Macaca fascicularis: one gene and its partners. The protein of the gene in region 3 interacts with the protein of the main gene of each other region in a pairwise test. Links are inferred from orthologs where the notes say so. Each region holds a gene or a part of one and is shown on either strand. Other genes may lie near its edges. The genes, in order: RALBP1, SESTD1 and GPS2.

The links.
Region 1: the proteins of GPS2 (region 3) and RALBP1 interact in binary tests that used the Homo sapiens proteins (3 or more experiments, as listed by UniProt). The two-hybrid records come from large-scale screens. The link is inferred for Macaca fascicularis from reciprocal best matches to the Homo sapiens genes GPS2 and RALBP1.
Region 2: the proteins of GPS2 (region 3) and SESTD1 interact in binary tests that used the Homo sapiens proteins (3 or more experiments, as listed by UniProt). The two-hybrid records come from large-scale screens. The link is inferred for Macaca fascicularis from reciprocal best matches to the Homo sapiens genes GPS2 and SESTD1.

The regions. Positions count from the first base shown.
Region 1 is NC_088392.1:77,877,479-77,881,126, reverse strand, and holds part of RALBP1 (ralA-binding protein 1), read right to left. Parts: intron 2,413-3,648; coding exon 2,251-2,412; intron 1,329-2,250; coding exon 1,197-1,328; intron 1-1,196. UniProt on the Homo sapiens protein: Multifunctional protein that functions as a downstream effector of RALA and RALB. As a GTPase-activating protein/GAP can inactivate CDC42 and RAC1 by stimulating their GTPase activity.
Region 2 is NC_088386.1:74,665,775-74,669,422, forward strand, and holds part of SESTD1 (SEC14 domain and spectrin repeat-containing protein 1), read right to left. Parts: intron 3,399-3,648; coding exon 3,276-3,398; exon of another isoform or gene 3,182-3,275; intron 1,856-3,181; coding exon 1,664-1,855; intron 1-1,663. UniProt on the Homo sapiens protein: May act as the primary docking protein directing membrane turnover and assembly of the transient receptor potential channels TRPC4 and TRPC5.
Region 3 is NC_088390.1:7,369,415-7,373,494, reverse strand, and holds GPS2 (G protein pathway suppressor 2), read left to right. Parts: upstream 1-1,211; 5' UTR 1,212-1,265; exon of another isoform or gene 1,266-1,341; intron 1,342-1,482; 5' UTR 1,483-1,551; coding exon 1,552-1,645; intron 1,646-2,005; coding exon 2,006-2,115; intron 2,116-2,199; coding exon 2,200-2,312; intron 2,313-2,443; coding exon 2,444-2,523; intron 2,524-2,614; coding exon 2,615-2,697; intron 2,698-2,878; coding exon 2,879-3,032; intron 3,033-3,130; coding exon 3,131-3,220; intron 3,221-3,309; coding exon 3,310-3,389; intron 3,390-3,476; coding exon 3,477-3,572; intron 3,573-3,756; coding exon 3,757-3,840; 3' UTR 3,841-3,936; downstream 3,937-4,080. Other genes in the region: NEURL4 (neuralized-like protein 4), read left to right, coding at 272-476. UniProt on the Homo sapiens protein: Key regulator of inflammation, lipid metabolism and mitochondrion homeostasis that acts by inhibiting the activity of the ubiquitin-conjugating enzyme UBE2N/Ubc13, thereby inhibiting 'Lys-63'-linked ubiquitination.

The DNA of each region.
Region 1 (3,648 bases), on a different chromosome or scaffold from region 3:
ATACAAATCTCTAACCTCAAAGAAACAGAAGGACTCAGGTTGCCTTTGTCTTTTTAACACAACCACAACAGAGACCTACTATCATGTTCCCCAATTCAGGCAAGGGCTAACTAATGATCCTTGGATGTGCTGTTTAGATGCTGCAGTGGATCTGCAATGTGGATTTTAAGGTGATCCAGAGATCTGGGATTTTACTGTTGCTGTGGCTGGTCCACTCACAGTCCCAGAACCAAGCAACACACACTAAACAAGAGGGAACTCAAAAGTCTGACTGGTGTACCCTAAACTCATCAGGTACTGCATGCCCCTCTTCTTCTTATTACATAAATAGAATCTCTCCTGATCTTCAGGACCTTCCAGGCAACCCTCATCACTACATTTCCAAAGAGCTGATACTAAATGCCTCAAATTCCAGCAGTCCCCGAAGGTGTGTCACCATCCAGCCTGCTTCTCATCTGCAGAAAGCCTTGTTTACAGGTATAACCGAGCAGGAAATGACACATTTTTTAGTAAATTCATTTTTAATTAAAACAAAACTTTCTAGGCCAGGCATGGTGGCTTATGCCTATAATCCCAGCACTTTGGGAGGTGGGAGGACTGCTTGAGCCCAGAAGTTTGAGACCAGCCTGGGCAACATAACAAGACCCCATTTCTACAAGCAATAAAAAATCAGCTGAGCATGGTGGCACACACCTGTAGGCCCACCTACTCAGTACTCAGAACGCTGAGGTAGGAGGATCCCTTGAGCCCAGGAGGTCGAGGCTACAGTGAACCATTATCATGCCATTGCACTCCAGCCTGGGTGACAGAGCGAGATCCTGTCTCAAAAAAAATTAAAAAAACGTTCTAGATTACATTGAAACATGTGACTGACACCAGGCTGCAATATCAATAATACAGGACTAGAAACATTTTAGTGAATAAATTTCCCACCAGAGAAGTTCACTTCAAGTGACATTATCTATAATATTCTTAAAAGAAAGAACTTGGGCTGGGCGTGGTGGCTCATGCCTGTAATCCCAGCACTTTGGGGGAGGCCGAGGTGGGAGGATTACTTGAGGCCAAGAGTTTGAGACCAGCCTGGTCAATATCAAAAGAAAAAGGAAAGAAAGAAAATACTTCAAAGAGCACATAAAGGACATAAAAGACTCCAACACGTTCTATTATAAACATTAGGTATCAAACTAGTAACCCACCTGTCTTTTAGCTTCTCTGAGTTTTCTTTTGAGGGCTGTCAAAATTCTTTGTACTTCCCATAATCTTTCTTCTTTAGACAAATCCTTTATCCCGCCCTGCAGATCTCGATGTAAACAATTCAAAAGAAACTCCTAGAAAGCAATGCCACACACTAAGTTGCATTCCATATCCTCTTATCTTAAACAACACATGCAATTTCTAAAGATGAAGAATCAACTATTTTTCAATTATCCTTTATTTCATTAGAGTAAAATAATGGCACTGATATGATTGAAAAATCATTCTTACTGTTTTGCCAATGAATTATTCGCTAATTTGTATTGGTTCAATAATACTTAACATCCCCATCTCCAATGTCATCATCATTAACTAGTAAGAACTGGGAGCTCACGGCAGACACAAGGGAGGAAAAGCAAGCAGGGGTTTGATAAAGTGCATGCAAATAAATAATCAAATGTAATTAACTTTCTTATTTAGTCTTGATTACACACACCCACACAAACACGGCATGGTTACTTCCATCAAAATAACATAGTAAAAACGCCCAGGATTTGGGCTCAACTCTTGGGTCTATAATAAATAATCATGTTACTTAACTTCCCCAAATTTTAATATTCTTATCTATAAAATATGGCTGATGACAGCAACCTTGTCCAGAAAAAGCAAACATTTTTAGACTATTTACAGCGTGCCTGGCCTGTTTCATGTATTGTCTCATTTGTGGCAAAATCTTCACACCAATCCTTTAAGAGGGCCCATTTTAAAGCAAGAACACCAGCGCTTAAGGTGGTTAAGAATTCGCCTAAAATCAGTTATAACTGAGAGCAGAGCAAGAATTTAAAGCCAGGTCTTTTGATTCCAAAAACTATGCTCTTTCCACCATGGTATTCCGACTTATTCAGCATGAAACAGTACCAGATGGGAATTTCTGACTTCAGTGTGCCTCACATAGCTCCAGACACACAGAAAGTGCTCAGGAAACAAGAGCCCATCACCACTGGACTCCACAATGGCCAATGCAGACGCAGGCTGTGGCAGGCAGGGTGCACACACCTGTCTCCTGATCTCCTCCTTGATGCCCGCCTGGGTCTCTGGCAGTGTGGGCATCGTGGCCATGTTAGACCATCGCAGAGGTTTCGTCACTTGCTTTAGTACCACATTTCCAAAGAGTTCTTGCACATGTGTGAAAAACACATACAGGACTCGATTGCTAATCTAAGAAAAAAAGATTTACAAGAAAACCATTAAAATTATCATTCTATTTCAGTTATTTGTGTCTAACATAATATATCCTTTAATCCTGGACACATAAAGAAAATTCTACCCAGTACTGACAACACAGTCTTTGCTAGTTAATGGTCAATTTAAGAAGAAAATGGTCAATTTAAGAAGAAGACTCATAAAATATGAGTTAAATCATGTATTCAAGCACCAGAAAGAATTGAAGAGGAAAAAAAAAAACCAAGAAAAGGATAGAGAAGCTGATGCCCATTCATTTGTTTTTTTTTTCTATCACTACAGTATTAACTGATTAAAACACCTTATGTTTTTTTGAGTATTGTTTTGTTTTTTTGTTTTGAGATGGAGTCTCGCTCTGTAGCCCAGGCTAGAGTACTGTGGCACAATCTCAGCTCACTGCAAGCTCCACCTCATGGGTTCAAGCGATTTTCCTGCCTCAGCCTCTCTGGTAAGCTGGGATTACAGGTGTGCGCCACCACGCCTGATTGATTTTTTTGTATTTTCAGTAGAGATGGGGTTTCACCATGTTGGCCAGGCTGGTCTCGAACTACTGACCTCAAATGATCTACCCACCTCAGCTTCCCAAAGTGCTGCGATTACAGGCATGAGCCACCATGCCCAGCTAAAACATCTTATGTTCTTTATTTTGAACTTACTTTGAGATATTTTAACAGCTACAATGGGCTGAATGAGGACCGTGAGGGAAGTGAGAGCACCACAGCAGTAAAACTGGGTTGAGGTTGAAAGCCCTCACTCCAGAAACAAATACCTGGACACAGCCAGCATTTAAGTGTGGATGTTCACATGCTAGGAGACCAGGGCATTAGGTTGGCTGAAAAGCTACTACAAGAAATTACTTCCTACCTAAAACTTACTCTTACAACACACTTGACTCTTCTATGATACAACCATCTCTATTATATTATAGTAATATTAAGTATCAATGTAATATTTACCAGATCCTGAAATCCTAATATGAATGATCAAACTAAAATCTGAGAAACATTTTGCTTTCAAAGTGTAACCAATGAATAACAGAAGAGTATTTTTTAGAGATAGAATTTTGCTCTGTCACTCAGAGAGGAGTAGAGTGGGATGATCATAGCTCACTGCTGGGCTCAAGCAATCCTCCTACCTCAGTCTGCCAAGTAACTAGGACTATACATACATGCTACCACACCCAGCTAATTTTTTATTTTTTTGTAGAGACGG
Region 2 (3,648 bases), on a different chromosome or scaffold from region 3:
TATCTGATAACAAAGGGTTTTACTTAAGTTTGTACAACCTAAGTAAATCAAATTTAAATCAAATTTACTACAAACAAGACAAAGGCTAGGTAACAGAAAAAAAATGGAAACAACTTTCTATTCAAAAAAATCTTTCAACTCTATTCATTCTTATATGACCTCATTAAAAGGTAGTTAAAAGCAGTATCCTAAAAAATCATCAGTGGGCCAGGCACGGTGGCTCACGCCTGTAATCCCCGCACTTCGGGAGGCCGAGGCGGGTGAATTACAAGGTCAGGAGATGGAGACCATTCTGGCTAACACAGTGAAATCCCGTCTCTACTAAAAAATTTAAAAAATTAGCTAGGTGTGGTGGTGGGCGCCTGTAGTCCCAGCTACTCGGGAGGCTGAGGCAGGAGAATGGCGTGAACCTGGGAGGCTGAGCTTGCAGTGAGCCGAGATCGTGCCACTGCACTCTAGCCTGGGTGACAGAGTGAGACTCCGTCTTGAAAAACAAAACAAAAGTTATCAGTGGTGCTAGACATTGGGCCAATGGTCACTCTTTGACAGTGAGGTGGTGGGGGGAGCAGTACTGTGACTACAGGAACGGAGGGGAGCTTCTGGATGCTGGTAATGTTCTGTTTTTTTGAACAGTAAACTGATTACACAGGTGTGTTCACTTTGTGAAATCTCACTGCACAGAATACTTGTGGTCTGTATGTTTTCTATGTTAACAGTATACTTAATAATAAAAAATCCTCATTGAAACAATCAGTAAACAAGTTACACCATTTTGTATACTTCCATTTATCATTAGGCCCATGTTCATCAAACACTGATCTATGGAGTTCAATGACCAGCTGAGAATGAGTTAACTATGGACACATCCCAACAGATGTACTTCATAACTCAGAAACTGTTTAATTCCTGAGGTTCCTTGCAACATCTGTTCTATGGATCGAGTTAGGTTTGCTAATATCTCAAAGTGTAATGAACATTCCCTACGTATAAACTTTTATTGTAAGAGATCAAAACAAAATTAACTACATAATAAAGTTCCTTTTCAGAACGGATATGTAAGGCTTGGGTACAATAAATTCTTACTACAAAGAGTAAGAAAAAAGTTCTATTGAAAATGTGTCCAAATAACCCTGCATATTTTATCTTTTGTTTCTGGAATTAATGACCTTAATTCATTGAATAATAAATTCTAGAATGAATCTTTAAAGAACCCATATAAAAAAGCATTTTACTTTTGTCCTTATTTTTTTAATGTCCCTACTTTATAAAATCACAAGGTGCCTTTTAGAAAATGTGTGACAATTAATAGCAGTTGCCAAAGCAAAAAGTTTCCCTTCCAGGCATAACGAAAGAGAATGAACTCATGATACTCTAAAGAACAGAGGGCATATTCTGGACACCAGGCTTGGTGAGGAGACAAGTGTAAAGAGAAGACTACCACGTGGTTCTAGATTTCTTTAATCACAGCTCTCCAGCACTGGTAAGAATCAAGAATTTAATTTGAACTCTCTAAGGCAATATATTATATCTAAGCAAACTAACAATGGAACTAATATAAATATTGAAAAATAGATCAGTCATATAGTTACATTACTAAAATTAACACACTTTAAACACATATAATAAATACCACTGAGAATAACATTTCAAAAAAAAAGCAAACCTTTTCAGCATTTGAGTGAAATGCAATAGCCATTTCCAACCTATGTACTCTCTCTTCAGATGCTATTGTAAATTGTTTCCATACTCTGTTCAATCGAGGAAGCGTATCCCCAGATGACCGAGAAGTGCAACGCAAAGACTGGCATAACACCACTGTGGCCTGTAGCAACTGTCTGCCATAGTCATAAGTGCTCTAAAAAAGAAAAGGAAACATAAAATTATAAAAAAAGAATTCTTAAGAGAAGGATGAGGAAAGTGTGCAGGAAGACTGTCCTTACAATTAAGTGACACTACTAGAAATCAATACTGAATAAATCTAGTGGCACTTATTACTACAAATTATCTGTGTGTATAAATAATAAAGGGGAAGCAATATTTTTGGTTAGTTTATAATAAGTTTCTTGGCCAGGCACAGTGGCTCATGTCTGTAATCCCAGCACTTTGGGAGGCTGAGGTGGGAGGATCGCTTGAACCTAGGAGTTCAAGACCAGCTTGGCCCACATAGCAAGATCCTGCCCCAAAAAAATGAAAAAAAAAATTGGTTGAGTTTGGCCACACTTGCCTATAGTCCCAGCTACCTCGGAGGCTGAGGCAGGAGGATCACTTGAACCCAGGAGTTGGAGGATGCAGAGAGCTATCATTGTGCTACCACATTATATCGTAGGTGACAGAGCAAGGTCTTGTCTCAAAAAAATAAATTGTTTTAAAATTTTTAATTAGAAAAAAACTCTCTTTCTGTTAGGCTTCCCCACTTCATTCTGTTTCCCCCATCACAATCCGCCAAATTTCACTGGTCAGAAAGAATGTCTGCTTATGAATTAATCAAAACTACTTTCAAAAGAAGGTGAAATTAGGCACTTTATATTCCATATAGGAAACTACACCTGTTACAATGTGAACTCATTATCAGGGAAAATAAGATACTTATTGGCGTGGCGCCGTAGCTCACACCTGTAATCCCAGCACTTTGGGAGGCCGAGGTGGGTGGATCACTTGAGGTCAGGAGTTCAAGACCAGCCTGGCCAACAAGGTGAAACCCCATCTCTATTAAAAATACAAAAACTAGCCAGGCGTGGTGGCCAGTGCCTGTAATCCCAGCTACTCAGGCGGCTTGAGGCATGAGAATCGCTTGAACCTGGGAGGCAGAGGTTGCAGTGAGCTGAGATTATATCACTGCACTCCAGCCTGGGCAACAGAGGAAGATTCTGTCTTTAAAAAAAAAAAAAAAAAGAAAGATACTTTTCACCACAAAAAAGTTCTGTATTATTATGCTAACACTAGTGAGATGCAGAAAGTGAGGTTTCTTATTTACTGATATTAACATCCATTTCATATTAACTTCTGTGAATCAACAGCTGGATTGCCTAAAAAATGCCACAATATATAGCATAAATCAGAGGGACCATGCAGAACATGTATTCAGGGAAACATAAACCCTCTCAAGTTTATGCAGGCTAGTTTTGATGCACCAGCTGACACTTTCTTAATTCTGTGATACTTCTGGAATAACAAAACTAACCTTCTTGTACTTGGAGGGTAAAGTTACATTATAATCATGCAGAAAGCTATTCAAACACTGAACTTGTGGAAAAGGAAGATAACCAGTTTTGCACCTGTGCAACATCAACAAATTTTCTATGCTTTTCCAGCAAAACTTTCGTTTCTTGAGCATCATCGCCCAATCTGATGTGAGTCTTAAGCAGAGCATCCAGAAGTTCACTTAGCCATTCTACTGCCTAAACAAAAAGACATAACAATGAAGCTGGATTCAGAACTCTTTACTTACTGTATCAAAATGTCATTTATACAGTGATTACTATCATGTGATTAATGAATCCGTTAATTATAACCTAAAGTCTTAAAAGTTTATTTCATTCAATGATAAGCTACATGAATTAATTACCTCTCCTACTCCTCAAAATTTTTTAAATCTGAAGGCAAGACATACTAAAGAAAAGCATTCTTTTAAAGTTAGTATCACATAAT
Region 3 (4,080 bases):
GGGGGGCGAAGGAGACAGCAGTGTGGCTGGTGTGGGCATCGTAAGAAGGTGGGAGAGATTCGAGCAAAGGCTTGAAGAAGGAAGTGAAGGGTGTAGCTGAGCAGGCTTTGGGAGGAAGAACATTTCAGGTAGAAAGAACAGCTAGAGTGAAGCTCCTATAAGGCGGGAGTATTTCCTAGGTACAGCAAGGCTTGTGTGGTTGGAACAGACTTTGCAAGGGGGAGGTGATGGGGAGAGAAGCTTCACTCCCTTATTTTTTCCTGTTTGACAGATTCCGGGACCCCAAATCCCAGCGGACGCACCAGGCTCAGGTGGCGTTCCAGGTGTGTGTGCGCCCTGGCTCCTACACCCCGGGACCCCCTTCCGCTGCCCTTGGAGAACCTCCTGACCCTCACTTCAGTCCAGCCGAACTTGAGTGGGTCACTAAGGAGAAGGGGGCCACACTCCTCTATGCCCTGCTGGTACGGGTGGAATGAGGGGTGACACACAAATACTACAAGCACAGTCGGGCCTCGGGCCCATGGACTCTGGCGACTGCCTCCACCTCATTCCCGTGACTCGTGGCATGCGCAGGTGCTGGAGCTTGGCAGCCGCGCAGGAGCATGTAGGCAGGCTCTCAGATGTAGGTGGCAAGTGGCACAGCTCCATGTCTGGAGGCCCAGCACTCCGTCTGATGGGAGGAGCCGTGGGAGCCCAGCTCCAGGCCCTGGTACCCCTCTTCATGCACTGATTTGGGGAACATGACTCCCTTTTACTCCCCTTCCCCACATCACTTAATTTATTTCCGTTTTTGTTTCTGGTTACTGTGAATCCCAGAGGAGTCTCTCCCTGTGCCCACATGAAGCTGCTTTTTCCGGGGCCACCAGGCGGGAGTGGGGAAGGGTGGGCGCACGGAAGATGGGGGCCTCTGTACAGTTGTTACTGACTCTGATTTCTAAGGAGCCAATAAACACCGTCTCAGAGCCTCCGCCTCGGCCTCTCTCTCGCGCGCCCCTCCCCGGAGCCCGCGTCCCCTGGGGTGCCACCAGGTGGGCCCGCGAAATTAAAGAGAGCTGAGGATGCCAAGACCAGTTTACAGCCCTCGTCGCCCGCGTTCCCGGCTACGGGGTTTGGACGCCGCGGGCACCCGTCGCAGCGCGCTTCCGCTTTCTCTCACCCAACCCGTGAGGTCGGCCGCAGCCGTGACTCCGGAAGGACTTGGCCGGGCCGCCGGATGTGACGTACGGGCCAGGGCGCGCCGGAGCTGCTGAGAAAGCGCAGAGAAGGCGGGTAGGGAGGGCTGGCGTCCGGGCTGGCTGGGCAGGGAGCGGCAGCACCGAGTCGGGGATCCCGGCGCCGCCCGTGCGCGCGGTGGAGCGGGGGCTGCGGGCCCGGCCGGGTGGCGGGCTCCTGGGACACGTGACCGGGGCGGCTAGCGGGTCGGGCGGACGGGCTTCCGCCTGGGCCGGGCGCGGTCCCCTCTGAGCGCCCGCCTCCCCGCAGGCGCCGTCTGAGGTCTGGCAGTCAGAGACAGAGCCGGGCGCCCACGGCCCGAGCGCCCACGGCAGCACCATGCCCGCACTCCTGGAGCGCCCCAAGCTTTCCAACGCCATGGCCAGGGCGCTGCACCGGCACATTATGATGGAGCGGGAGCGCAAGCGGCAGGGTGAGCCGGGGCCATAGCGGGGGGACACACGGCCCAGAATGGCTCCTGTACCTCAGGGTTGGCCTCAACCCAGCGGCCAACCAGTGAGCCCGCTGCCGAGCGCAGAGGAGGGAAGGAATAGCCCCGTTGTGGTGGGATTTAAGCGTCCTGGTCCACGCTCCAGAACCCTTGAGACGGGAAGGACCTTGGAGAGCACCTGATAAAGCCTCTCCGTTCCCTATTGCAGCGATGGGGGAGCTTGTCCCCTCGAGGCAAAGAGCGCACAGGCGTGTTGGGATGACTGGGTTTTGCTGGTCTTCAATCTAACGTTGGAACTGTTTTCACTACCCTGCCTCTTCTTCATTCTGCCTGATTCTCCAGAGGAAGAAGAGGTGGATAAGATGATGGAACAGAAGATGAAGGAAGAACAGGAGAGAAGGAAGAAAAAGGAGATGGAAGAGAGAATGTCACTAGAGGAGACCAAGGAACAAGTAAGCAGTCCCTTGAACTCTCCCAGCTTTGATTTCTTCCCTTGACTCTCCCTGCCTTCATCTTCTCTTCCCACTCCCTCCCAGATTCTGAAGTTGGAGGAGAAGCTTTTGGCCCTACAGGAAGAGAAGCATCAGCTTTTCCTGCAGCTCAAGAAAGTTTTACATGAGGAAGAAAAACGGAGGCGAAAGGAACAGAGGTAGGATCAGAGTACTAAAAACTGAAATGGGGGCCAAGTGGAACTGGGATCAAGTAATAAAAGAACTAGTGTTTAATGGCGAAAGAGAAGGCATCTGTCCTTAGCTTTGACCTGCCTTCCTCTCACTCCAGTGACCTGACCACCCTGACATCAGCTGCATACCAGCAGAGCCTGACTGTCCACACAGGAACTCATCTCCTCAGCATGCAGGGTGAGGACTAAAGAGACCACCTGATGGAACCGGCCTTCTTACAGGTTGCAGCCTCCCATTTCAGCATCATGAAGCCCTTCTCCCTTTCTAGGGAGCCCTGGAGGACACAATCGCCCAGGCACCCTCATGGCAGCTGACAGAGCCAAACAAATGTTTGGACCCCAAGTGCTTACGGTGAGAGTAGGATTGGATGCCCAGCCCCTACTGCTTCCATCCATGCATCCTTGCCACCAGTATTCAAGTCACAAACATATCAAGCACTTAAGTTTAGGGGGAAATGGGGCATACAGATATACACAAGTCACTGGGTTTCAGCTTTCAAGTTTATAGGCGAATTCTCATTCTCCCTCCTTAGACCCGGCACTATGTGGGCTCAGCAGCTGCTTTTGCGGGGACACCAGAGCATGGACAATTCCAAGGCAGTCCTGGTGGTGCCTATGGGACTGCTCAGCCCCCACCTCACTATGGGCCCACACAGCCAGCTTATAGTCCTAGTCAGCAGCTCAGAGGTGAGTAATAGGAGGGATGGGGCTTGGCCTTCCTCAACGTCAAAGGAGGAATGCCGTTGAGTAAAAGGTTTTAATGGCTCTGTCTTTTCCTTTCTCAGCTCCTTCAGCATTCCCTGCAGTGCAGTACCTATCTCAGCCACAGCCACAGCCCTATGCCGTGCACGGCCACTTTCAGCCCACTCAGACAGGTGATAACATCCCATGCAGGAGCTCTAGCTCTCTGGGTCCTCCCCTCCCTGTTTCATTCTCATCTCACATGCCCCTCTTCCCCACGTAGGTTTCCTCCAGCCTGGTGGTGCCCTGTCCTTGCAAAAGCAGATGGAACATGCTAACCAGCAGACTGGCTTCTCCGACTCAGTGAGTATGGCATCTTGGGAGGTCAGGGTTAGGGATATGTTAAGGGGAGCATCAGTATGCCTCAGGCCCTGACTCTGTTCTCTGCAGTCCTCTCTGCGCCCCATGCACCCCCAGGCTCTGCATCCAGCCCCTGGACTCCTTGCTTCCCCACAGCTCCCTGTGCAGATGCAACCAGCAGGAAAGGTAAGAATGATAATAAAGTTTACCTGTCAGAATCCTTACACTAGGGATCCAGAAAAGCAGGATTAGGTAGGACCGGTGGCCCACATCACCTGGTTTTTCTTCCTCTCTGGGGGTGGTTACCAGTAGGGCATTAAGTGGGAGAGTACGCCCAGTGACAAAGCCCTCTTTTCATCACCACCGCCAGTCGGGCTTTGCAGCTACCAGCCAACCTGGCCCTCGGCTCCCCTTCATCCAACACAGCCAGAACCCGCGATTCTACCACAAGTGACGATCAGATTATATCTTCAACATCATGCCCCCTGCCCCACTGTGGGTGAGGATACCCCCCGTGTGTCCCAGGCCAATAAAATCTACCTGCCACTGACCCTGGCTGCTGCTGTTTGTGTTGCCTCCCACCCAACTGTCTGGAATAGGTCAAGGCTGCTTGGGGGGTGGGGGGATGACTGGCAGGTCCACAGCAAGTCAGTGATAGACAGCGGGTTCCATGAACTCAGTGGCAGAGTTCAGT